Anolis sagrei: one gene and its partner. The protein of the gene in region 2 purifies or fractionates together with the protein of the main gene of each other region. This does not show direct contact. Links are inferred from orthologs where the notes say so. Each region holds a gene or a part of one and is shown on either strand. Other genes may lie near its edges. The genes, in order: CAPRIN1 and G3BP2.

Region 1 (12,978 bases), on a different chromosome or scaffold from region 2:
ATCTTTAAAGAAATGGGTATGACACAATATTCAATTTTCCTGATGTGTAATCTGTACTCAAAACAAGAGGCTACCTTCAAAACCACAATACAGGCAAAAAATAGACTTGAAACAAAAGTCAAGGAAGAATGTGCAAAGACAGGTTTCAGTTCAACATTGAACATTAAGAAAACAAAAATATTGACCACAGAAGACTTGCATAACTTTAAAACAGACAATGAAGACATCAAATTACTTAAAGGATCTCCATACAGACAACCCCCAGTTACGAACAAGATAAGTTCTGTAGGTTTGTTCGTAAGCTGAATTTTGTTTGTAAGTCAGAACAGGTACATTTTAAAGTGTAACTCCAGCCTTTTTTAAAAAGTTTTGGATACCCTAGCGAAGGGCAAACACTCATGTGGTGTTTGTTTTGCTGTTGTACCACTGTTCAGAAGATTTCACCTCACTTTCTGTCCTTGTGATAATTGGATTTGGGAAAATGTGGCTTGTTGTAGAAACAAGAATTGGTGAGAAAGCTTCATTTGAGACACCTTTTTCCCATGATAACTTTTTCAAGAGGTAATTTTCCTTCCAAGGGGTAGATTTCTCTCACTTCCTGCTGTCTCACCCCGCTCTTAACTATGAGTCATTTGTAAGTTGAATGTTTGTAACTTGGGGACTGCCAGTACATTGTTTCAGCCATTAATTAGAATAGAGACAGCAGTCAAGAAATCAGACGACTAGAACTTGAAAGGGAAATTCTGAAGGAAGTAGATAAGATCCTGAAGTGTAAAGATAGTATAGCTGAGTACTAAGGTTAGGATTGCTTCTGCAATTGTATTTCCATTTTCTATGTACGATTTTGACAGCCAGATAGAAAAGAAAGCTGACAGAAAATCAACTCATGCAATGGTGTTGCATTTCTTCAGATACCATGGACTGCTTAAAAAAGACCAATAAATGGGCCAGAGTAAATCAAGCTTGAACTATTCTAGAAGCCGAAAAGCCTAAACTGAGACTGTCATATTTTGGACAGCTATGATTCAGTAGAAAAGATAATGCTTGGAAAGAAAGACAACAGTACAAAGAGAGGGAGACCACATTGCAAATAGATTCAATCAAGAAAGCCATTCTTAGAGGTCTCTTATTTATACAGTTACTATGATTTGAAGCTGACATCTATGCTACCTTTCCATTTAAAATAATTTGTATTCTAAGCCATTTAAATGAACCTCTACCTCTACTTCACTGCATTAAATAGGGACAGGCAGTCTAGAAAAGAAATGTAGGAGAGGGACATGGTCCCACTTAGCCACCACCAGCCCATGCTTGAAGCTTCTGGAGCATGCCATTTGTTATTTAAATGTAATTTCAACTTCCCTTAGGGTAGTGGTTCTCAACCTGTGAGTCCCCAGGTGTTTTGGCCCACAACTCCCAGAAATCCCAGCCAGTTTACTAGCTGTTAAGATTTCTGGGAGTTGAAAGCCAAAGCATCTGGGGACCCACAGGTTGAGAACCATTGCCTTAGGGCTTATTTTGAGTTCAAGAAATCATAGTAGACACACTTCCTGTTTCAAAACAATCATGGTGTAGATTAGGTCAGGGCAGGGGTTCTCAAACTAAGACCCAAGGGCCTGATGCAGCCCTCCTAGGTCATTTACCTGGCCCTCGCTCAGGGTCAACTAAGTCTGAAATTACTTGAAAGCACACAACAACAACAATCCTATCTCATCAGCCAAAAGCTGGCCCACACTTCCCATTAAAACACTAATAAGTTTATATTTGTTAAAATTGTTCTTCATTTTCATTATTATATTGTTTTTACATTTTTTTTGCACTACAAATAAGATATGTGCAGTGTGTGATTCATTCATGTATTTTTCCCAAATTATAATCTGGCCCTCTGAGATTTACTTTTGACAGTTTGAGGGACTGTGACATGGCCCTCTGTTTAAAAAGCTTGAGGGCCCCTGGGTCAGGGGGTCAACATTACAAACATTGCAAATGGAAACTTCTAGAGCCTTTTTCAAGAATAATTTTGGGCAAGGGAGAGAAGAAGGGACCAGGGCAAAATAAAACTTGACGGCATACCCAAACAATCTGTTATTTGATAAGTGCAACATTTAAGAAATTTCCTATCTCATATCCCAGTTTCCAACCACATTAGCATTTTGTTCCAACACAATTAAGCCATGATTTCAAACAGCATGGTCTTCTTTGAGTTCACATTCTTACTGATTCAGCACTAAAGAAATTAAAACTAATCACTTTGTAAAATATGGTTTCAAATTCACTTGTTTCCAGTGGCAGAATTACAACCAATTTACCAAAATTAGTCTGGGTTCAAACCCAGCAAAATATGGTTTATCAAACAATGAAACAAAAGCTTCTAAAAGCCTCAGAGCTGTGAAGAACACATGTGGGAGCATGGACAGAGGGTAGGCTTCTTCTTTTAATGTTGAGCTGTTTCTCATTCCACTACTGGGATTCTTTTGCTGAATCAGAACTGTCCTAAAAGTAAAAGTAAGGAATTTTACATCCAATTCATTTTTCTTCCAATCATATACCTCTTATACTAGGCTTGCGACAAGAGAACAAGTGCAGGGCTTTCAAGCAACGAAAGCTTACTTTGATAGCTATAATAGCCAAAACTATAATGAAAACTCAAACTGCTTTAATCGTGAAATTTGATCCTATAGATGCCAACTAGAATGCAAGTGTCAGAGGTTTCCAGATATATCTATAGAACCTTAAGGCTAGAATTCTAGTAATGGGAACAAAAGTCAACACAATACTTAACAGCAACTTTCTTTGGGGGGGGGGGAGGCTAAGCAGAGACTGGATGGCCATCTATTGGGGAGATTTTCACTGTGCATGGAAGAGGGTTGGACTGGATGGCCTCATGGTCTCTTCTAACTCTATGGTTCTATGAAATGACAACTGCAATGCTCTCCTGGTCACAAGAGCATTAAAAACAAGCTGCTGGAGAAAGTAACCTAAGGTGGATTTGGGGACAATGTTCAAATGTATATTATCATAAACATGAATTCTCAGCAGATTGTAAGTTTAGTGTATGATCTTCTAATTGCTGACAGGATTGCTGCCCTTTTTCTTTTTCAATATTTGAACAGAACTCACTATTCTTGCTATTGTGTGTCTAGAAAGTGCCTTTGGCCTATGATTCTAAACACTTAAGATTTTAAATAACTGAAATACTACTGCAAAACATATACAGGCCCTCCCCAAGTTACAAACATGATCTATTCTGTAGGATTGTTCCTAAGTTTAATTTGTGTGTAAGTCAAAACAATCACGATTTTTATGTTTACTTCCAGCCAAATGTATTTTTTAGCTTTTGATGGCATAGCAAAGGGTTAACACCCATGTGGAGTTTGCTTTGCTGTCTATGCCCCTGTTCTGAAGATTTCACCTCACTTCCTGTCCCTGTGATAATTGGGTTTTGAAAAATGTGGCTTGTTGTGGAAACAAGGATAGGTGATAAAGCTTCAATGGAGACACCTTTTCCCCATGATAACGCTTCCAGGAGTGAATTTCCCTTCTGAATTTCCCTGTTGTCTTGGCCCTAACTGTGAGTTGTATACAGTATAAGTTGGATATTTCTAACTCGGGGACTGCCTGTATAATCAAACATGGTGACTTGTGTTGTTGTGAGTTTTCTGAGCTGTGTGGCCATGTTCCAGAAGCATTCTCTACACTGTTTTCCTCATATTGCACTTTTTCCCATCTTATTGAAAGTCTAATTCCACTGTTCAGTCCCCTACAAACTCCCACAAATGTACCTTCTTCATTGCTTTCTCATCTAGAGTTTTATCATTTTATGTTGTGCATTTGGCCCACCCACTGTTAGATTTTCCATGTTATTTTGTACTGTTTATTTTACTTGGTTTATTTATTTTATTGTGATGTTATTTTTTTTTTATATTTTATGCTGCTGTAATGTATCACTGGGCTTGGCCTCATCCAAGTCCCCTTTGGGGAGATGGTGGCGGGTATGAAGTTTATTATTATTATTATTCTTTCCTGACATTTCGCCTACATCTATGGCAGGCATCCTCAGAGGTTGTGAGGTCTGTTGGAAACTATTCAAGTGGGATTGATATATCAGTGGAGTGTCCAGGGTGGGAGAGAGAACTCTTGTCTGTTTGGGGCAAGTGTGAATGCTGCAAATGGCCACCCTTATTAGCATTGAATGCCCTTGCAGCTTCAAAGCCTGGCTGGTTGCTGCCTGGAGGAATCCTTTGTTGGGAGGTGCTAGCTGGCCCTGACTGATTCTTGTCTGGAATTCCTCTGGTTTTTGAGTGTTGCTCTTTATTTACAGTCCTGATTTTAGAGTTTTTAAAATACTGGTTGCCAGATTTTGTTCATCTTCATGCAGGTAAGGACTTGTACTTGTAAGAATCTCCCTTCAGAAATCTTATTTGTGATGTGGACACTTCCTTTGGCCACTCACCGCAGAAACCTGAGCTCCCAACCTGGAGCTGCAATAAAAACTGGGGAGGCCTTTCACTTGCGCACGAAGGGACTGGGTAATATGTTGCTATTTTGATATTAAACAGGGGCCTCCAAGGTCACGCTCGTTCCGTCTTTTGCCTGCTCCTCCGGAACTGTGGCAAGAGTGAAGTCAAGGGGCGGAAAAGGGAGAGAAAGAGAGGAGAAAAAGGCAGGCTGCAGGGCCTTTGTGCGGAAGGAACCAGCAGCCGCTCTCACACAATGAGAGGCTCGACTCCCTCCCTGGGAAGCCTCGCTGCCTCTCACCGCCGCCGCCGCCATGTTGAGTCCCGGCCGGGTCCATGTGCGGAAGGAGCGGGGCTGCCGAGGGAGGGAGGCAAGGAGAATGGCCGGGGCGGCTGAAGCCGAGGCCTCTGTGGGAAGGGAGGGGGAGCGGGGAATGGGGCGGGAGGGGAGCGGGGGAGGCTCCGGGCCGAGGGAGCCCCGAGAACAAAGGAGGCCTCCCCTTCCCCCCTCCCTCCTGGTCTGGGAAACAAAAGGCGCGCCGAGGGACCCGCTCCCCGCCCAGGCCCTCACCTTCTTCTTCTCCAGGTTCCGTAGCTTCTTATCGATGACGCCCAGGATTTGCTTCATGGCCTCGGTCTGCACAGAATTCGTTCCGCCCGAAGTGGCCGCCGCCGCCGTTGCTGCCGCCGCCGCCGCGACGTCGCTCACCGCTTTGCTCGCCATCGCGCTGCTGCTGGTGGTCGCCGAGGGCATCGCTTCCTGTGACTACGAGGAGGAGGAGGAGGAGGAGAAGGAGCGCGTTACGGGCCGGAGGAGGAGGAGGAAGAAGGGGCGGGAGGCAGGCAGATGGCGGACCGCGGCCGGCGGGCGGGGATGGGGGTGGGGAGAGGAGAGAGAGAGCGCGAGGCACAGAAAGGACGGGCCGCCAGAAGGGACACAAAGCAAGGAGGAATCGACAAACGCTCTCCCACTCGCCCGAGACTGCTTTTTTATTCCAACTGGTTGGTATTTAAAGGGACATGCACACAAAAGACAGAACGCCCATTGACTCCTAAGCAGGCCTTTTCTATTCTCCCTCCTCCCGTCCTTTTTCTCCTCGAACGCGTGAGGTAGGCCGCACCTGCCGAGGCGCGCCCCCAACGATATTTAGGCAACCCGGGATTAATTACTTCGTTAGGATCCGCCGGCGAAGGAAGGAAGGATCAAACCAACCCTCTTTCTATCTATGGCGCGCGCACAGTGAGGGGAGGGGGGAGGAGAGAGTGAGCTCGCGCCAACCAACCCTTTCTCTTTCTATCTCGCGCGCGCGCGCGCACGGTGTAGGGAGAGGGGGAGAAGAGAGTTAGCTCGCGCTCGGAACTCCCCGCGTGATTGGCAGGCTCCCCGCCGGGCTCTTCCTTCTCCTCCTCACTCCCCCCGCCGCTGCTGCCCAACGCTTCCTCTCTCTCTCTCTCTCCTTTGCCCGCCTCCTGCTCACCGTATGAGGTGCCGGCGCCTGTGTGACTGAATGGGAATGGAGGGGGAGAGAGATACAGGCAAGGGAATGGCTGCTTTCACAGTCGCGGAGGGCGAATGGCCGCCTCTGCCCACTCCGGCCCGGCGCTTGCACACCGCTCCTCCTGCTAGAGACGGTGAGGCGAGAGAGAGAGAGAGAGAGAGAGAGAGCGAGAAGCGGGCGGGGCAGGGAGCGAGCCGAGAGGGGTCCTCAGCCGCTGGGGCTGCCCTCGCCAAGTGCCTGACTGAAAGCACAGCGGGGCGGGGCAAGGTGCTTCAGGCGCGGCGGGCGCCTAAGCGCGGACACAATAGTCAGGCGGAGGAGCTTCTGTGCTGAAAGGACCCCTTCCTGTGGGCTGGGCCTCGTTTCGAGGGATGGCTTTTCCTTGGCTTGCCCGCTTCCTTGTCTCGTCTTTTCTCGGAGCCCCTTTGTATCGCTTTGTGAACGCACTGCGGCTGCGCTCTCGCTGTACGTGGAAAGAACTCCCAGGGGACTCGGCAGGACTTGTTAGAGAGGCCTTTGGAAGCCCGCGAGTTCCAAGTGCCCTGGACTTCATATCCCAGAATCCTCAGCTGCCCTGGCCAATGGTTAATGGATTCTGGGAGTTGAAGTCCAAAACACCTGGCCAGCCAAGGGTTGAGAAACACCGTAGGCCCCAGCTTCAGTTTTCAGCCTTCGGGAATTCGAACATGTGTTGCAGGCACATGGCAAAGAATTAGGAGACAAAGACATAACGGTAATAAATCCAGAAACTTAATAAGTTTTTAAAATCTAGTTCAGTTACATTTGTGTTAGGAAACAAAACAAATAGTCACTACATTAGGTTCTTGTGGGTTTTTTTCGGGCAATAGGGCCATGTTCTAGAGGCATTTCTCCTGACGTTTCGCCTGCATCTATGGCAAGCATCCTCAGAGGTAGTGAGTCATTTATTAATGACTCGCTACCTCTGAGGATGCTTGCCATAGATGCAAGATGCAATATTAGATAGATGCATAGATGCAATAATAGAGTCATTTATTAATGACTCGCTACCTCTGAGGATGTTTGCCATAGATGCAGGCGAAACTTCAGGAGAAATGCCTCTAGAACATGGCCTTATAGCCCGAAAAAAACCCACAAGAACCTAGTGATTCCAGCCATGAAAGCCTTCAACAATACATAGTCACTACAGTCGTGTTCAGCTGGTGCTTAGATTTCAGTTCATTCACAACATAACAGGTCTGGGCCAACTTTGGACCTCCAGATGTTTTGGACTTCAACTCCGACAATTCCTAACAGCCAGTAGGAATTGTGAGAGTTGAAGTCCAAAACACCTGGAGGGTCCAAGTTGGCCCAGGCCTGTACTAGAATGATGCAGAAAAATCCCAGTTTGAGGTTTTGGAGAAGCAGAAATTATTTTTGTAACCCTTACTTGCCATGCCATAAAATCACCAAATGCCATCTGATATTGGAAGCTAAGGAGGGTCAGTCCTAGTTACTAACGGTTGGAAACTCAGCAATGAATATCACACACTGCAGACTGTATTTCAGAGAAAGGAATTAGAAAAACCATGTCTAAATATTCCTTCTCTTTTTAAAGAAAAAAACCCTCTGAAATGTATGGGGTCGTCACAAATTAACAATCAACTTGAAAGACACAAGCAAAGCAGTTTGAAGGCACATGTTGAGATGACAATGGGGGACTTCGCTGTTTCTATATTTATAAACTTTCTGAAGGGCAAGGCAAGTTAGGCAATATATAAACATTTTAAATACAGTATAACCCCCATATCTGGGGATACATTCCTGAACTTACTGTGGAAACTGGATAATAGCGAACCTCACTAAAATGAACAACCAGGAAGTACCATAGAATTCCTCTAGAGAACTTCCTAGAGAGGTATTTTAAGAATTTACCAACAAGATTCTATAATAACTTCCTGTGTTCTAGAAAATTTCAAGAGGACAGGGATTGTGTTGTAAATAAACCATGGGAATACCTCCTAAAATGTTGCCATATATTCTGTTTTGAGTGACATGACACATAAAATGCTATTTTGGTCATTACCCCCAAATTATTAAATGTGGTTAGTAAAAGTGAGCCAATATCTTGAATGCCAGGGAAAAAAATGAATTCACAACCCCGGAACACCATCACCAGTGATGCTGTGCTAATCTCGTTGTTATACCTTTATTGTTTATTTCAAACTGTACTCAATCTAAGAATAAATGCTTAAGTCTTCATAATTCTAAGCATTTTCACATCTCTGTGTGTAAATGTGATCTCAAGAACCCAGAAATACTGATTTATTAATGAGTTTTTAATATTTCCAGTATAAAGTGCTTTTAAGAAGGGCTTAACCTTTCCCTTTATACCTGTTATCCTGTGTGTTTTGCTTTACTCCATTATAGATAAGTATTTGTAAAATTCATCCCGCACAATACACACCAATTTAATACATTACTGAAACCCCACTCCAGTACAAAGTTAGACAACCCTAGCATGATTTGCATCATTGGACACTGATATAGTTCCCACAATGGAGCACATTGGAAAGGAAAGACTATGACTGCTAAACACATTGAGAGCATCCTTGTGAAACTAGCATGGAATCAAACAGACATTTCTTGTGGACTTATCTCATAGTTGTGCAGGCATATGACTCTTCTCCATTTTCTTTCCTGTATTGCATGAGTTTATTTATTTATTTAAAATATTTCTATCCTGCCTTTTTCGAACCCAAAGGTGACTCAAGGCAGCTTACAACCATGCAGCAATTTGATGCCTAACAGTATACAATTAACAGAATTAAAACATACATTCAGTAAAACCTTTAAAAACATATAAAACCAATGCCTTCATTGTTAGTCTCATTGTCCATAAATGGTCGTCTGAGCCGTTCCAATGTTCGCTTTTGTCTAATACCATGCTTGACTGTTGCATGAGATTCCGAAGGCTTGTTCAAATAGCCATGCTTTCACTTTTTCCTGGAAGGTCAACAGGGAAGGGGCTGATATAATATCCCTGGGGAGGGCATTCCACAACCGAAGGGCCACCACTGAGAAGGCCCTGTCTCTCAACCCCACCAGTCGAACCTGCAAAGAAGGCGGGACTGAGAGCAGGGCCTTCCTGGATGATCTTAAACTCTTAGGTGGTTCATAGGGAGTTGGAACCATGTTGACCTTCAGTCTGACAACATCTATGCTGACTAGGGGTGATAAAGAGCCGCACATGTAGAGAGTTGCACATGTACAGCATGTAGACAGCCACACATTCCCTATCTTGGGAAAGAAGATTATATATTACCAACTAAAGAAAACTATCAAACATTATTGATTTAGGTAAATGTCATTATTTTTAAATTTTATTTAGAGGGTTTTTATTTAGATGACTTCCACAATGCCTTTCATATGAGGCAGTTTTCTAACCACTGGTATAGAACATTGATCTGTCCTAATGTGGTTACTTCATTGTGAAGGACCACTCCTCCTGTAGGAACTGTATATTGAAATACACAGTATGAAAACAGTTATTTGACCTGACATAATGCTGGATATCTTGAGGCAGGCAGGAATGTGTGGTTTCGAATGAGCAAAAGCTTATTCTAATGTGCTGTGTTGTGTTGGTTTCATTGCCTTTCCCGGGCTGATGATGGTGCTTTGAGTTGAATAAGAAATTGGAAACTCAGAACCAACTGTGGCTTTGTATTGCATTAGGCTGTGAGATTCAAATAACTGATTCCTTTACTACTGTGCCAAGTGTGCCTTTATCTTTCTCAGTTGTAGCCTTTTGAATATTTTATTGATCTTGTTCCCTGAGGCATTAAGGTTTAACTTTCAGACTCACATCAGAACAATTATAATTCTATCTAATTTACAAAACTCAATCCTTTCTGAAAACATGAGTCTTATTTTACTAGAGAATATTATTATTGGGAGTTGGGATAGCCATTGTGGTATTTTGGACACAACAAAATTTAGCTTTTTGTGGGCAAATATCTTTGGTTGTCAAATGACAACCACACTTCTACATGGTGGAGCAGTTTTGAAAAGGTTCAGTGTTTAAGGCCATTTTATTCAAGATAGCTTAGTAGAAATACTTAATTTGCATTTCTTCTTACACATATTCACAAGAGCTTTCCCTTTGTGTATCATTTGATGGAAAGAAGTTACTCTGGTAAAATACGTATCTGACACTTAAAAAAATAATTTAACCACTGTATCAAGTCAAATTTATTTGTATCCTGTCCCATCTCCCCTTGGGGATTCAGGGTGGCTAACAACATAGATGGCATGTTGTAAAAAGTGCTACATATAATTTGAGCACAATATGGTACCAGAAAACCCATTGTTGGTTAAAAAAAAGTGAACCACATTGAAAGCGGATTGTGAGCCCTCTTGTTGCTTTGAAGGAGAAGAGAGTTTGCAGGCATCAGTAGTGGTGGGAAAAGAAACACAAGTAGCTGAAGGAGAAGATGTGGAGCTGCGTCTGTTTTACTAATTCACAAGTTTGCGGTAGGTATGAGCAAAAGTTGGCTGTTCAAGATGATTGCAACATATATTTGGTGATATAATGCATATATACTCTTGTAAATGAAGTTTTATGCCACTGATTCTTGTATTCTTTAATGTGTTCTAGTTCCTCCATCTTGGTGCTAAATGTGTAGAAAAGGTTATAGGTTTGTGAAAAGTGGCACTTAATTTAACTAATTTTTAATTTCTTTATCCAACAATCTTAAATCTGTAAAAAGTACGGGAAAATCAGGATGATCCACTACAACATCTAAGACAAAATGTACACTAAATGTGTATTTATTAAACTACAGCAATAGTATATTAAATACTTTAGCATTTCACATAGTAGCAAAATTACTGGTTAATAAAAAACTGAGAGTTAGGAGCATCCATCAAATGTTAGAAGAGAAAGGATCACAACAGAGTGACCTAGCAAAGCGATTCCATGTATTGTCGAAGGGTTTCATGGCTGGAATCAGTGGTTTGTTGTAGGTTTTTTCGGTCTATATTGCCATGTTCTAGAGGCATTCTCTCCTGACATTTTGCCTGCATCTATGGCAAGCATCCTCAGAGGTAGAGGTATGGCAAGCATCCTCCCATTCCATAATTTTATGCCATCATCAGGCCCTTCTTTTCACCAAATTTCTAATGATGACAATCTACAGAGCAGACCCTTAAGGCAAAGAAAATGAGACAATGGTATCCAAAGTTTCTTAATTGTATGTTGGAGATACTACACTGAATTGTTTTGGGAAATGAATGGGTAACTAATAGAAATTATGTATACTCATAGAGATAGGGAGTCGGTCTACACCTGCAAAAAACACCAAAACAAAATCATTGACTAGAATGGCAGGTAAAAAGCAATTCTGTTATTAGTTTTATTTTATTTTATCAAATGTTATTTATGCTAAATATTTTAATTGTTCTTTGTTATTGTAGGCATCGAATTGTGCTGTTTGTAAATCTCTCTGAGTTGCCTTCAGGCTGAGAAAGGCGGTATATAAATATGGTTAATAAATAATAATAAATTCTCTTTCAAGTGTGGCATGTGTCAGGTTAGGAGCCAATACAAAGTGAACAGGGTTTTTTTTTCTTTTTGCCTGTGTAAAGAGAGCCATGTTTGGCTGCCAGCGAATGGATTACAATATCAAAACTGGCTTCTTATATACGGTCTCAATAGTCAATCCTTTACAGTTGTATGAATTATGAAGTCATGATCAACTTCTCTAGTGTTAAAATTTTAGATTTCTTGTCAATTCCATATTAATGATGCAAACAAAAAAACCCTATTCTGATGGCTATCACTGTGAAGATAAAACTATAATAAATGAAAAGACATATAGCTGGAAGGACTGACCAGTACGTTCCTTGCAGAATCAACATGAAAGGCCACCCGCTTTCCCAATGCAGAAGAAAATAATTACTGCTGACATCTGTAAAGCCTTGTGCAATCAGATGAGAGCATAACAGTAAAGTCTCACTCTTACGTGTTTGTTTATACTGATTTGCTTATCTTGGGCTTGGTTACATATTTGCGTTTCCCTTCCACATGATGAAACATTTTGGAAACAAAAAAGAGCAGTACTTTCAGAAAATTGTGAAATAGTAAGCATTTTACTGAAATTGCTGGAACAGATATGATCCTGTTCAGTATGTGTAAAAAGCTATGTGGCATTTTGGCTCACATTTCTGAACCATCACACAATAGAATCTTGTTTCATTCGCCTTTGTGCAAAATTGAACAGGTTTCCTTGTATGTTGTATAATGCGACAAGTGGGAAACCCTTGCCTAAGAACAATCTCCTGGCGTTGTTGAAGACTGCTTTAATTTGTATAATCACTCCAATAGCAATGACTGAATAAATTTTATGCTATCGCCTTGCATTTGGTATTTTTTATTTCAACAAGAAAATGGGACAGTGGTGTATTTACTATGTTTCCTTTGATTTTGTGTTGACCACAGTATGAAAAGTATTGACAGAATTTACAATACTATTGTTAGAGGGTGATACATGTGTGGTTGGGAGACTTCTAACAGATGTTTGATGCTTTAGGTTGCACTTCAGAAGACAGAATTGGCAGAACAATCTCTGAATATTCCTTTCCTATGAAATCCATGGGGTTGCCATACATCAACAGTGACAAAGGTGAAGCTGCACACACACCTGCCCCAGTATTCTTTGACAGCATCCCACCCAAGTACTAACAGGACTGACCCTGCTTACCTTCCAAGATTACACAGAGTCTGGTGCCTTTCGGGTATTTAGGCATAGGCTAAATTTCTTACAACTTCCCAGTGCCCTAGACCAGAGTTTTCCAACTTGATCCTCTCTAGATATTGAAGACTTTCTCCCGATCAGGATGGCCAATGATAAGGAATGCTGAGATCCCATCTGGAATGCACACACAGCTGTTCTTTTTAATTTCTAAAGGCAAGCAATTTAGAAACAGTCCACACTTTCCCTTGAAGCAGATTGGAAATTAACTATTTATGAAGTATTTCAATACATATAATCTTATGGAGCAAG
Region 2 (13,201 bases):
ACTTTCATTATCTATTTTCTCTATTTTTTCTCCTTCACTACTAGCCCGTCGCTTTGCCTTCCCCTTCCTTCTCTAATGCTACATCCTCCTTTCTTCTCACATTTAGTGATTTTTATAGTGTTTTGAGGATATAGCACACATATTATTTGATTGGAAATTGTAACAGAAGGTGAGAAACTTGTATCTTGGTCCACATATCAAACCGACAATTTATTGGGAATCTCACATCAGAACAACATATTTAATGTGTGGAAAGACCCAAAAATAACATATAAAAAGCTCTGTATTTAAGCAAAGCAATACATCTGAGATCCACATATGTGGGGCTGATCAGGGCACATTGTAGGTAGAAATATTATGTGTGTGTATATGTGTGTGTTCAGTTTTATCATACTTATTTACTGTATTATTATAAGTGTCTTATTTAACTTACTATATAGAGTTTTATTAAGTTGTATCAAGCTTTGTTGTTTGGTTTGGTATGGTGATATGGCCTAAGGGCTAATCAATAAATTTATTTATTAGTGATTTTTCTAGATAAAATCTGTTTCTTCTGCAAAACTCCCTGGCCTTCATCAGTGAGTCTGGTACATATTGCCCCTCTGTAAAGTGTAAATATATATTAGATCCAAATCCTCCTCCAGGTCCACTTACCCTCCTCCTATGAAACTTGCCAAAGTACTAACCCTCCATTTATGTATATTTTCATCTGGTCCTTCCCAAACAGTTTTAATTGTGAGTTTTAAACACCACTGTATTCCTGGTTTTGTTTTGTGTATAGGTATGTTTTAATATGTGTATTTTACAGAGTGTTTTAATATGATTCTGTGTTTTAGTAATGCTTTAATCCGCCTCAAGCCATGAGAAGTAGCAGGCAAGAAATTTCATTTATTTATCTATATTCCGCTTTATCTCTCAAAGCAGCTCACAATTAAAAGCATTACAATACAACTTAAAATATACAAATACATGTGTTGTAATGTAATTTTTTTGTTTTTTTGTTTCTTAAGTCTCTTTCACTGTGTTTTTCAGTATTTTTATGAGTGATGGTCACTCCTTGGCCTGATAGGTGTATTGTGTCCAAATTTGGTGTCAATTCGCCCAGTGGTTTTTGAGTTATGCTCATCCCACAAACGAACATTACATTTTTATTTATATAGACTAGCTGTCCCTTGCCATGCGTTGCTGTGGCTGTCTGTGTATATGTGTTTTGTACATGTATATATGTGTATATGTGTGTGTATATATTTGTATATAAGTGTATATATGTCTGTGTATATATGTGGTTTTGCGCATGTGTTGTAATGCATTTTTTATTTTTTGGCTTTTTAAATCTCTTTTGCTGTGTTTTTCAGTGTTTTTATGACTGATGGTCACTCGTTGGCCTGATAGGTGCATTGTGTCCAAATTTGGTGTTACTTCGTCCAGTGGTTTTTGAGTTACATTATTATTATTATTGAACATTACATTTTTATTTATATCGATTATAATTACTATATTATTATATATTATTGTACTATATTATCGTACCACAACACATATAATATACCACCAGTATATTACACTATTATATATTGTATTATATCATAAGTCGAGGTATATATATAAAACTAGCTGTCCCCTGCCATGCGTTGCTGTGGCCAATAATAATAATAATAATAATAATAATAATAATAATAATAATAAACCTTTATTTGTACCCCGCTACCATCTCCCAAACAACTCGATGCGGCTTACAAGAGGCCGAGCCCAAATACAACAATAAAACAACAACAACAATAATACAGCAAAATAAATCAAAAACAAAGCAATAACATTAACAACACACAATGACGCAATTAAAAACTATGGCAGGGCCAAATGTAATAATTAAAAATTAAAATTAAAAAGTGCTGCATAACCAGGAGAAAGGGTGGGTGTTTGGAGAGGGATGGGTATGCAGATATCCTAAATCTCTGATAAAGTGTGTTGGGGACAAAATGCTTGGAGTTTCCTTATTCTGGGAAGGCACACTGGAACAACCACGTTTTCAAGCTCCTCCTAAAAATTGCCAGCGATGGGGTCTGCCTGATGTCCTTAGGGAGAGAGTTCCAGAGTCGAGGGGCCACCACCGAGAAAGCCCTATCCCTCGTCCCCACCAATTGCACTTGCGATGCAGGTGGGATCGTGAGTAGGGACTCTTCAGATGAACGAAGAGATCGTGTGGGTTCGTACACCGAGATGCGGTCACGCAGGTAGGCGGGTCCCAAACTGTGAATATGTGTTTTGTGTATGTGTGTATATATATACTAGCTGTCCCCTGCCACGTGTTGCTGTGGCTCAGTCTGTGTATATGTGTTTTGTGTGTGTATATATGGGTGTATATATTTGTGTATATGTGTGTTTTGTACATGTGTTGTAATTTATCTTTTTGTTTTTTGGCTTTTTAAGTCTCTTTGGCTGTGTTTTTCATGTTTTTATGAGTGGTCACTCATTAGCCTGATAGGTGTCTTGTGTCCAAATTTGGTGTCAATTCGTCCAGTGGTTTTTGAGTTATGTGAATCCCACAAATGAACATTACATTTTTATTTATATAGATGTGTCTGTATATATATTTGTGTATATGTGTATACATGTGTGTTTGTGCATGCGTTGTAATGTTGTTTTTTTGGCTTTTTAGAATCAAAGAGTTGGAAGAGACCTCATGGGCCATCCAGTCCAACCCCCTGCCAAGAAGCAGGAATACTGCATTCAAAGCACCCCTGACAGATGGCCACCCAGCCTCTGTTTAAAAGCTTCCAAAGAAGGAGCCTCCACCACACTCCGGGGCAGAAAGTTCCACTGCTGAACGGCTCTCACAGTCAGGAAGTTCTTCCTCATGTTCAGATGGAATCTCCTCTCTTGTAGTTTGAAGCCATTGTTCCGCGTCCTAGTCTCCAAGGAAGCAGAAAACAAGCTTGCTCCCTCCTCCCTGTGGCTTCCTCTCACATATTTACACATGACTATCCTATCTCCTCTCAGCCTTCTCTTCTTCAGGCTAAACATGCCCAGCTCCTTAAGCCGCTCCTCATAGGGCTTGTTCTCCAGACCCTTGATCATTTTAGTCTCCCTCCTCTGGACACATTCCAGCTTGTCAATATCTCTCTTGAATTGTGGTGCCCAGAATTGGACACAATATTCCAGGTGTGGTCTAAACATGCCCAGCTCCTTAAGCTGCTCCTCATAGTCTCTTCTGTGTTTTTCAGTGTTTTTATGAGTGATGGTCACTCGTTGGTCTGATTCGTGTTCAAATTTGGTGTTAATTCATCCAGTGGTTTTTGTTATGATCACCCCACAAATGAACATTACATTTTTATTTATATAGACTAGCCATCCCTTGCCACGTGTTGCTGTGGCCCAGTCTGTGTATATGTATTTTGTACGGGTATATATGTGTGTATATATTTATATATATGTGTATATATGCCTGTTTGTTTATATATGTGGTTTTGCGAATGTGTTGTAATGCATTTTAATTTTTTTTTCTTTTTAAGTCTCTTTTGCTGTGTTTTTCAGTGTTTTTATGAGTGATGGTCACTCGTTGGCCTGAGAGGTGTATTGTGTCCAAATTTGGTGTCAATTCGCCCAGCATTTTTTGAGTTATGTTAATCCCACAAATGAACATTACATTTTTATTTATATAGATTATATCTCATTATTATATAATTATATATTGTATTGTACTATATTTTCGTACCACAACACATGCGCAGTATATTATACTATTATATATTGTATTATATAATAAGTCGAGGTATATATATAAAACTAGTTGTCCCCTGCCACGCGTTGCTGTGGCTCAGTCTGTGTATATGTGTTTTGTGTGTATATATATGGGTGTATATATTTGTGTATATGTGTGTTTTGTACATGTGTTGTAATTTATCTTTTTGTGTTTTGGCTTTTTAAGTCTCTTTTGCTGTGTTTTTCCATGTTTTTATGAGTAATGGTCACTCGTTGGCCTGATAAGGTGTATTGTGTCCAAATTTGGTGTCAATTCATCCAGTGGTTTTTGAGTATGTGAATCCTATAAACAAACATTACATTTTTATTTATATAGATGTATCTGTATATATATTTGTGTGTATGTGTATACATATGTGTTTGTGCATGCATTGTAATGTTTTTGTTGGTTTTTTTTTTTTGCTTTTTAAGTCTCTTCTGTGGTTTTTCAGTGTTTTTATGAGTGATGGTCACTTGTTGGCCTGATTAGTGTTCAAATTTGGTGTTAATTTGCCCAATGGTTTTTGAGTTATGTTAATCCCACAAAGGAACATTACATTTTTATTTATATAGATGTGTCTGTATATATATTTGTGTATATGTGTATACATGTGTGTTTGTGCATGCGTTGTAATGTTGTTGTTGTTTTATTATTATTATTATTATTATTATTATTATAACTTTATTTGTACCCCGCTAGCATCTCCCGAAGGATTTGGTGCGGCTTACAACAGGCCGAAGCCCACACAATACAACAATACAATACATAGCAAATAAGACAATTAAGCAGAAAAACAAATACAATAGCAATACAGCAAGACATTATTAAAAATTGAGCCGGCCGGAATAGGGGTACAGGATTAAAAGTGCTGATGTGTCGGAGGGATATGGGATTATAATATAAATGTGGTGTGCAGTGTGCGGTGGTCTTGATTCTGACTAAAGTGCTTCTGGGATTTGGAACTGGGGTTTCTAGCCAGAGAAGGCATATAGGGTTCCTAGTCTGAGAAGGCACATTTGAACAGCCAGGTTTTCAAATTCTTTCTGAAGACTGCCAGTGTAGGGGCTTGTCTGAGGTCTTTCGGGAGGGTGTTCCAGAGGCGGGGGGCCACCACGGAGAAGGCCCTGTCCCGTGTCCCCACCAGACGCGCTTGTGACACGGGCGGGATCACGAGCAGGGCCTCTCCAGATGACCGGAGTGAGCGTGTGGGTTCGTAGACAACGATGCGGTCACGCAGGTAGGGTGGTCCCAAACTGTTCAGGGCTTTGTAGGTAAGCACCTGCACCTTAAATTGGGCTCGGAAAACAAACGGCAGCCAGTGGAGCTCCTTAAACAGGAGGGTTGACCTCTCTCTGTAATGGGCCCCAGTTAACATTCTGGCTGCTGCCCGCTGGATCAATTGGAGTTTCCGAGCCGTTTTGGCTTTTTAAGTCTCTTCTGTGTTTTTCAGTGTTTTTATGAGTGATGGTCACTCGTTGGCCTGATTAGTGTTCAAATTTGGTGTTAATTCATCCAGTGGTTTCTGAGTTCTGTTAATCCCACAAACGAAATTACATTTTTATTTATATATAGATAGATTACATTAAAACATTAATATTATATGTAATAGTATTATTATATCACAAAAAGCCTTCGACAATACATTAATATTATATGTAATAGTATTATTATATCACAATAAGAAATAAAACTATTACTAGTACTATTATTACTATTATTGGTGAAAGAATGGTGAAAAGAAATAAACCTCGGCTTTTCTGCAAACTCCTCAGTACTGACCTGCCTTACATGGTAGTTGTAAGGCGAATACACTGATTCGAGGCCAACGTTTACTGCGTATTAGGAGGCGGGGTTGAAGGGGGCCCATCTACATTGCAATACAATGCAGTTTGGAACTGCATGATATGGTCAGCGTAGACCCACATAATGCAGCTCTGTGCAATTAACTGCTGTTGACAGCAGCAGCAGCATCCCCCCTCCTCCCTCCTCCGCCACGTCCTTTCTCTGAGGGGCGAGAAAAAAGCCCCGCCAGGAGGCAAAGCGCGGGCCCAGGAGGCTCCCCATCCGCCCGTGCCCCGTTACCCACCTAGGCGCTCTCCGCGGTCTCGGGATCCGGTTCGCTCCCGGCCGAAGGCACGGGGAGGAGCGACTGGGGCTGCGCGTCCCTCCCTCCTTCCTTCCTTCCCTCAGACGGAGTCCGGGCGGAACCGGAAGTGGCTCTCTCGCTCCCCGCCGGGAGAGCGCGAGGCCGAAAGCGCGCGCGCGCCTGCGAAAAGGTCCCCAATAGCCGCCAGGAGTGGGCGGGGCTAAAGCCGCCACATCTGGTGCGCGAGGAGCACGCTTTTGAAGTGATGGGCCAAACGGAAGTCCGGCTTTGGCGTCCTTCTTTTGTTTATCCTCTCTATGCTTACGCTTCCGGGAAAGGAAAGGCCATTGTAACGTCCTCCGTTAGGGCCGCCAGGTTTTTGGGACTTCAGCTCCCACAATTCCTGCCGCCTAGACAAGCTTCTGAGGCGCTTGGGAGTTGAAGTCCGCCCAAAAAAACCTCGAAGCCGGCCATTCTCTTCTCTCAAGAGTTCATTGGAAGAGAGCTTCGTGCACGCTCCACTTCCGGTTCCCTGTAGGTTCTTTCGTAAACATTGCTAGCAAGGTATTGTCGAAGGCTTTCATGGCCGGGATCACTGGGTTGTTGTAGGTTTTTCCGGGCTATATGGCCATGTTCTGGAGGCAATTTTTCTCCTGACGTTTCGCCTGCATCTATGGCAAGCATCCTCAGAGGTAGTGAGGTCTGTTGGAAGTAGGAAAAATGGGTTTATATATCTTTGGAATGACCAGGGTAATGTTTCAGCTGATCACCTTGATTTGCATTCAATGGCCTGGAAGCGCCTGGGGGGAATCTCTTGTTGAGAGTGAATTGCTAGCAAGCCATGCTAATATTGTACATATAATAATAATAATACTATTTATATCCCGCCCTAAACATAATATAATAATTTTTATTTATTTATTTATTTACCTTACTTATATACCGCTGTTCTCAGCCCGAAGGCGACTCACAGCGGTTCACAACAAATACGAACAGCAAAAATTCAGTGCTACAGTATAAAAACAGTTAACAACCTAACACATTACATACCATTCCTTGAACGTGAAAAAGCATTTGATTAGATTCCCCATGACTTGATCTGGTGAGCACTATGGTCACATGGAATACCAGAAGACTATCTAACATGGATGAAGCTACTGGGTGCCGTGCCAATCCAGAAGTATCTCCGGAAGAGCTCATCCAGCATTTATAAACAATAAACACTGACAAAAATCACAATATGTCAACTGCAAAAGGCCACCTTGCTTGGATCCGCACGCATCATTCGAAAATACACCATACAGTCCTAGACGCTTGGGAAGTGTTCGACTTGTGATTTTGTGATACGAAATACAGCATCTATATCTCATTTGCTGTGACATACTGTGTTTTTGTGTCAGTAAAATAATAATATTTATATCCCACTTTTATCTCCCCAAAGGGGACTCAAAGCAGCTTGACATAAAATCATTGGTATCCAATTTAAAATATATAAATATACAAACATTGAAACAGAATTAAACACAGACAGTATTTTTAAGCATTCAGTTAAAATCCATAGAATCATAGAAACCTAGAGTTGAAAGAGACCTCATGGGCCATCCAGTCCAACCCCCTGCCAAGAAGCAGGAATATTGCATTCAAAGCACCCCTGACAGATGGCCATCCAGCCTCTTTTTAAAAGCTTCCAAAGAAGGAGCCTCCACCACATGCCGGGGCAGAGAGTTCCACTGCTGAACGGCTCTCACAGTCAGGAAGTTCTTCCTCATGTTCAGATGGAATCTCCTTTCTTGTAGTTTGAAGCCATTGTTCCGCGTCCTAGTTTCCAGGGAAGCAGAAAACAAGCTTGCTCCCTCCTCCCTGTGGCTTCCTCTCACATATTTCTACATGGCTATCATATCTTCTCTCAGCCTTCTCTTCTTCAGGCTAAACATGCCCAGCTCCTTCAAACATATTAAAAGTTAAGAACAAGTATGGTCTGCTGCCCTGCAGAGATTTCACCACCTTTCACTATCACTGTTGGTGTGCATCAGGGATCAGCACTCTCACCATTACTAGACATGCTCTGCATGAACACTGCTACAGCAGATTTGCAGACTATGCATCCCTGGACACTAGGTTTGGTTGATTTAAAAAATGTTCAAAACTCGTTTAGGATGTAAAGAGTGCTGGTGGTTCAATTCTAAACACATTTCTGAATTTTTCTGGGGGGAGAAGTTGGAACTTTCCGAAACTTCTGAAACTTCTGAATCGATTTGTTAATGCAGATGTGCATACACAGTAGGGAAAAATAGCACTGGTGAAACTTCGGGGGATTCTCTATTCTCCCTCATTTTTAGACCAACCCTGATGAAACTTGCGACAGCGGTAGAACACATGGACCACTGTTAGCTCACCAAATTTCATAACCTTTGACTTATCCATGGATTTTTGGTGAATTTTCAAAGTTTTTATTTAAAAAATTAATAATAAAGAAAATCTGTTCCTGGTTTGAAAGTGTTATTTCCTGTTTAATTGTGTGTTTTTTACTTTGAAAGTAGTTGTTCTACTCCAGAAACTTTGTGTGGCACAAACTGTGTTAAATTGGGGGAGAACAGAAATCATAGTACAGACCTCATCAAGGAACATCTAGACTGACCCCCTTCTTCTGGGCAGAAAGGCACCATCCTGACATCCATTTTAGGACATCCATTTGCTTCCTCTACTGAGTTGGAGAGGACACTCAAGACACATCCATCTGTTTATTTCTATTAGCTTAACTACATTACATTAATCTACACTGACCATATAATCCAGTTTCAAATTATTATATGGTAGTGTAGATGGAGCTTGGAACCTGTTTTTACAACTCCCTTGAGAGAGAGAGAGAGAGCTGCCCATAGTTTAAAGAACATTCACGATACAAAGATTAGATCGGCAACTTCCCTTCTTTCATTTAGGAAAAAGTTGAAAACCTGGATATGGGACCAGGCATTTGGACATTCTGGCAGCCAAAGAAAGACTTGATGATGAGCTAGAATTTGACGGAATGGATTTACGGAACTCCAAACGCTGAGCTCAGGATTAGTTTACTATTGTGTTATTGTATTCTATTGTATTGATGGTTTTAATTTTAATTTGTAACTGTTTAATTGCTTTTATATATGTATGTATATGTGACAAAGGCATCGAATTGTGCCTTCCTCTAAGCCGCCCAGAGTCCCCCCTTGGGGGTGAGAAGGGCGGGGTAAAAGTAACGGAAATAATAATAATAATAATAATCATCATCATCATCATCATCATGGATGGGATGCAGTAGTAGATACCTTCTTCATCCCAAATGAAAAATGCAGACTCCTTGGTTTTTAAATCAAGATGCGTATTTATTATATGAATATATATTCAGAGTTGGGCATATTGGGTATGTGTGCCAAGTTTGGTCCAGATCCATCATCGTGTAGATTCAGAGTGCTCTCAGATTGTAGGTGAACTGCAACTTCCAGAATTCAAGGTTAGCCCCCACCTTCCCCAAACCGGCTTCAGAGTGGCCTCTGGATGTTGGTAAACTATAACTCACATAATCTAGGGCCCATCCCACCAAACCCCTCCAGTATGTTCTGGTGGTTATGGGGGTGGTGGGTCTGTGTGCCAAGTTTGGTCCAGATCCATTGTTGGTGGGAGTTCCAGTGCTCTCTGAAAGTTGGGGGTTTCTTGAAAAATACAAACAAACATATAATACTATATATTGATATATAGATTACATAATATATATGGTCCTTGCTTGACCACAAAGTGAAGGCAGAACCTTATTGAAAAGACAACTTCAGTCCTCACCTACATTTTGAGATTTAGGCCTATTTATTTATTTATTTATTTATCGTGTCATCAGCAACCATACCATTGTATTACAATTCTAACAGAGCAAAGCAAACACACAGATTAAAAAGAGAAGAAAAAAAAAAAACAAAAACACAGATTTTGCAAATTTGGTAGTTGGTTAAATGTCCTTTGACCAGTATCTGGCCACTTGGAGTGCCTCTGGTGTTACCGCAAGAAGGTCCTCCATTGTGCATGTGGCAGGGCTCAGGGTGCATTGCAGCAGGTGCTCAGTGGTTTGTTCTTCTTCGCACTCGCATGCCGTTGATTCCACCCTGTAGCCCCATTTCTGAAGGTTGGCTCTGCATCTCGTGGTGCCAGAGCGCAGTCTGTTCAGCGCCTTCCAAGTCGCCCAGTCTTCTGTGTGCCCAGGGGGGAGTCTCTCATCTGGTATCACCCATGGATTGAGGTGCTGGGTTTGGGCCTGCCACTTTTGGACTCTCGCTTGCTGGGGTGTTCCAGCGAGTGTCTCTGTAGATCTAAAAAAACTATGTCTTGATTTAAGTCATTGACGTGCTGGCTGATACCCAAACAGGGGATGAGCTGGAGATGTCACTGCCTTGGTCCTTTCACTATTGGCTGCTACTTCCCGGCGGATGTCAGGTGGTGCAATACCGGCTAAGCAGTGTAATTTCTCCAGTCGTGTAGGGCGCAGGCACTCCGTTATAACGTGGCATGTCTCATTAAGAGCCACATCAACTGTTTTAGTGTGGTGAGATGTGTTCCACACTGAGCATGCATACTCAGCAGCAGAATAGCACAGTGCAAGGGCAGATGTCTTCACTGTATCTGGTTGTGATCCCCAGGTTGTGCCAGACAGCTTTCGTATGATGTTGTTTCTAGCGCCCACTTTTTGCTTGATGTTCAGGCAGTGCTTCTTGTAGGTCAGAGCACGGTCCAGAGTGACTCCCAGGTATTTGGGTGTGTTGCAATACTCCAGTGGGATTCCTTCCCAGGTAATCCTCAGAGCTTGGGATGCTTGTCTGTTCTTAAGGTGAAAGGTGCATGTCTGTGTTTTAGATGGATTAGGGATCAGTTGGTTTTCCCCGTAATAGGCAGTAAGAGCACCTAGAGCTTCGGAAAGGTTCTGTTCAACCATCTCAAAGCTCCCTGCTTGAGCGGTAATGGCACGATCATCAGCATAGATGAAACTCTCTGTCCCTTCTGGCAGTGGCTGGTCATTTGTGTAGATGTTGAACATGGATGGAGCAAGCACGCTCCCCTGAGGCAGGCCGTTCTTCTATTTCCGCCTATAATTTAGGCCTATAATGCATATATTATATCATTAACCCAATTTGACAACCCTGCAACTGCTATGCTTCAATGCTATGGAATCTTGGGACTTGTAGTTTGGTGAGGCGTCAACACTCTTCAGCAAAAAAAAAAAAGGCCTCGTAAAACTACAGTTCTGACGTTTCCATAGCACTGAACTATGGCAATGAAAGTGGTGTCAAAGTGCAGTGTAAATGCAGCCTTCGCTTCCCCTTATGGGTAGCTGTCGAAGATAGAAGAGTCTACACAGAAACCGGAAGTCGAGGGTGTTCGTGCGTCGCTTCGTGTTCTGTCTCTATGATGCCCATCTTTGTGCCACGTCTTGGCGCAGGCGCAGTAGAGCGGCGGCGGCTGGCTGAGAGACACGAAGCGGCTGCGGCCTAGCCAGAGAGCCGGGCCCGTCGGGAAGATGAATTTCTTGCGGGGCGTCATGGGCGCCCAGAGCGCTGGGCCGCAGCCTTCTGGAGCCGAGACGGTGAGTCAGGCGGCTTGGGGTTTCCTCCTTGGGAAGCACTGCATGCCATTTTGCCTCCCTTGGTTTGTTGTCACGGCCTAGTTCCCAACCTGAGGGCTGAAGTCGCCCTTTCAGTAGGTCCCTGCCTTCACAATATAGTCAGGAAAGGACTATCTCTAAAAGCAAGTATAATTTATAATGTGGGGTGCTGTGAGTTGCTGTACTGAGAAACACAAGTGTGCTCCATGATCAGGCATGGGTAAACTTCGGCCCTCCAGATGTTTTGGACTACCAGCTCCCACAATTCCTAACAGCTGGTAGGCTATTAGGAATTGTGGGAGTTGGAGCCCAAAACACCTGTAGGGCCAAAGTTTGCCCATGCCTGATCTATATCAGCCAGTATGTCAACGACTTAAATCAAGAAATAGTTTTCTAAGATCTACAGATCTCAGCAAGCGAGAGTCCAAAAGTGGCAGGCTCAAACCCAGAACCTCAACCAATGGCTGAACAAGCTGAAGATTAATCCTGACAAGACAGAGGTCCTCCTGGTCGATCATAAACCAGACCGGAGTATAGGGAGGCAACCTGTGCTGGACAGGGTTGCACTCCCCCTGAAGTCACAGGTCTGCTGTTTGGATTCTTCACTTACGTTTGAGGCTCAGGTGTCAGCGGTGGCCGGGAGGGTTTTTGCACAATTGAGACTCGTGCGCTAACTGTGACCGTACCTCGTGAAGGCGGATCTGGCCAGGGTGGTCCATGCCTTAGTCACCTCCAGATTAGACTACTGTAATGCGCTCTACGTGGGGCTGCCCTTGAAAATGGCCCGGAAATTCCAACTGGTCCAATGGGCGGCAGCCAGGTTGTTAACTGGTGCTCCTTACAGGGAGAGATCAACCCTCCTGTTTAAGGAGCTCCATTGGCTGCTGTTCATTTTCCGGTCCCAATTCAAGGTGCAAGTGCTTACCTACAAAGCCCTAAACGGTTTGGGACCCGCCTACCTGCATGACCACATCTCCGTATATGAACCCACACGATCTCTCCGATCATCTGGAGAGGCCCTGCTCACGATCCCACCTACACTGCAAGCATGATTGGTGGGGACGAGGGACAGGGCCTTCTCCGTGGTGGCGCCCGGACTCTGTCTCCCCAAGGACATCAGACAAGCCCCAACCATGGCAGTCTTTAGGAAGATCTTGAAGACGTGGTTGTTCCAGTGTGCCTTCCCAGAATAGGAAACTCCTAGCATCATGTCCCAAATGCACTTTACTAGAGATTTAAGATTGTCTGCACACCGCACCTATCTCCAAAAACCTATCCATCTCACCTGTCATGCTTACCTTTGAGGCTCAAGCGTTGGTGGTGGCCAGGAGGGCCTTTGCACAATTAAGACTCGTGCGCCAACTGCGACCGTACCTCGGGAAGGCGGATCTGGCCAAAGTGGTCCACGCCTTAGTCACCTCTAGACTGGATTACTGCAATGCACTCTACGTGGGGCTGCCTTTGAAAACGGCCCAGAAATTTCAGATGATTCAACGGACGCCAGCTAGGTTCTTAACTGGGGCTCCTTACAGGGAGCAGTCATCCCTCCTGTTCAAGGAGCTCCACTGGCTGCCATTCATCTACCGGACCCAATTCAAGGTGCAGGTTCTCACCTACAAAGCCCTGAACGGTTTGGGACCCGCCTACCTGCGTGACCGCATCTCCATATACAAACCCACACGATCACTTCGATCATCCGGAGAGGCCCTGCTCTCGATCCCACCAGCCTCGCACGCGCGATTGGTGGGGACGA

What was found.
Region 1: the proteins of G3BP2 (region 2) and CAPRIN1 purify together in Homo sapiens (affinity purification with mass spectrometry; 5 studies listed by BioGRID and IntAct, with this or other methods). This does not show direct contact. The link is inferred for Anolis sagrei from reciprocal best matches to the Homo sapiens genes G3BP2 and CAPRIN1.

What each region holds. Positions count from the first base shown.
Region 1 is NC_090021.1:268,156,571-268,169,548, reverse strand, and holds the start of CAPRIN1 (caprin-1), read right to left. Parts: upstream 6,097-12,978; 5' UTR 5,936-6,096; intron 5,836-5,935; exon of another isoform or gene 5,741-5,835; intron 5,602-5,740; exon of another isoform or gene 5,579-5,601; intron 5,224-5,578; 5' UTR 5,212-5,223; coding exon 5,029-5,211; intron 1-5,028. UniProt on the Homo sapiens protein: mRNA-binding protein that acts as a regulator of mRNAs transport, translation and/or stability, and which is involved in neurogenesis, synaptic plasticity in neurons and cell proliferation and migration in multiple cell types.
Region 2 is NC_090026.1:55,182,315-55,195,515, forward strand, and holds the start of G3BP2 (ras GTPase-activating protein-binding protein 2), read right to left. Parts: upstream 5,983-13,201; 5' UTR 5,829-5,982; intron 1-5,828. Other genes in the region: USO1 (general vesicular transport factor p115), read left to right, coding at 11,365-11,430.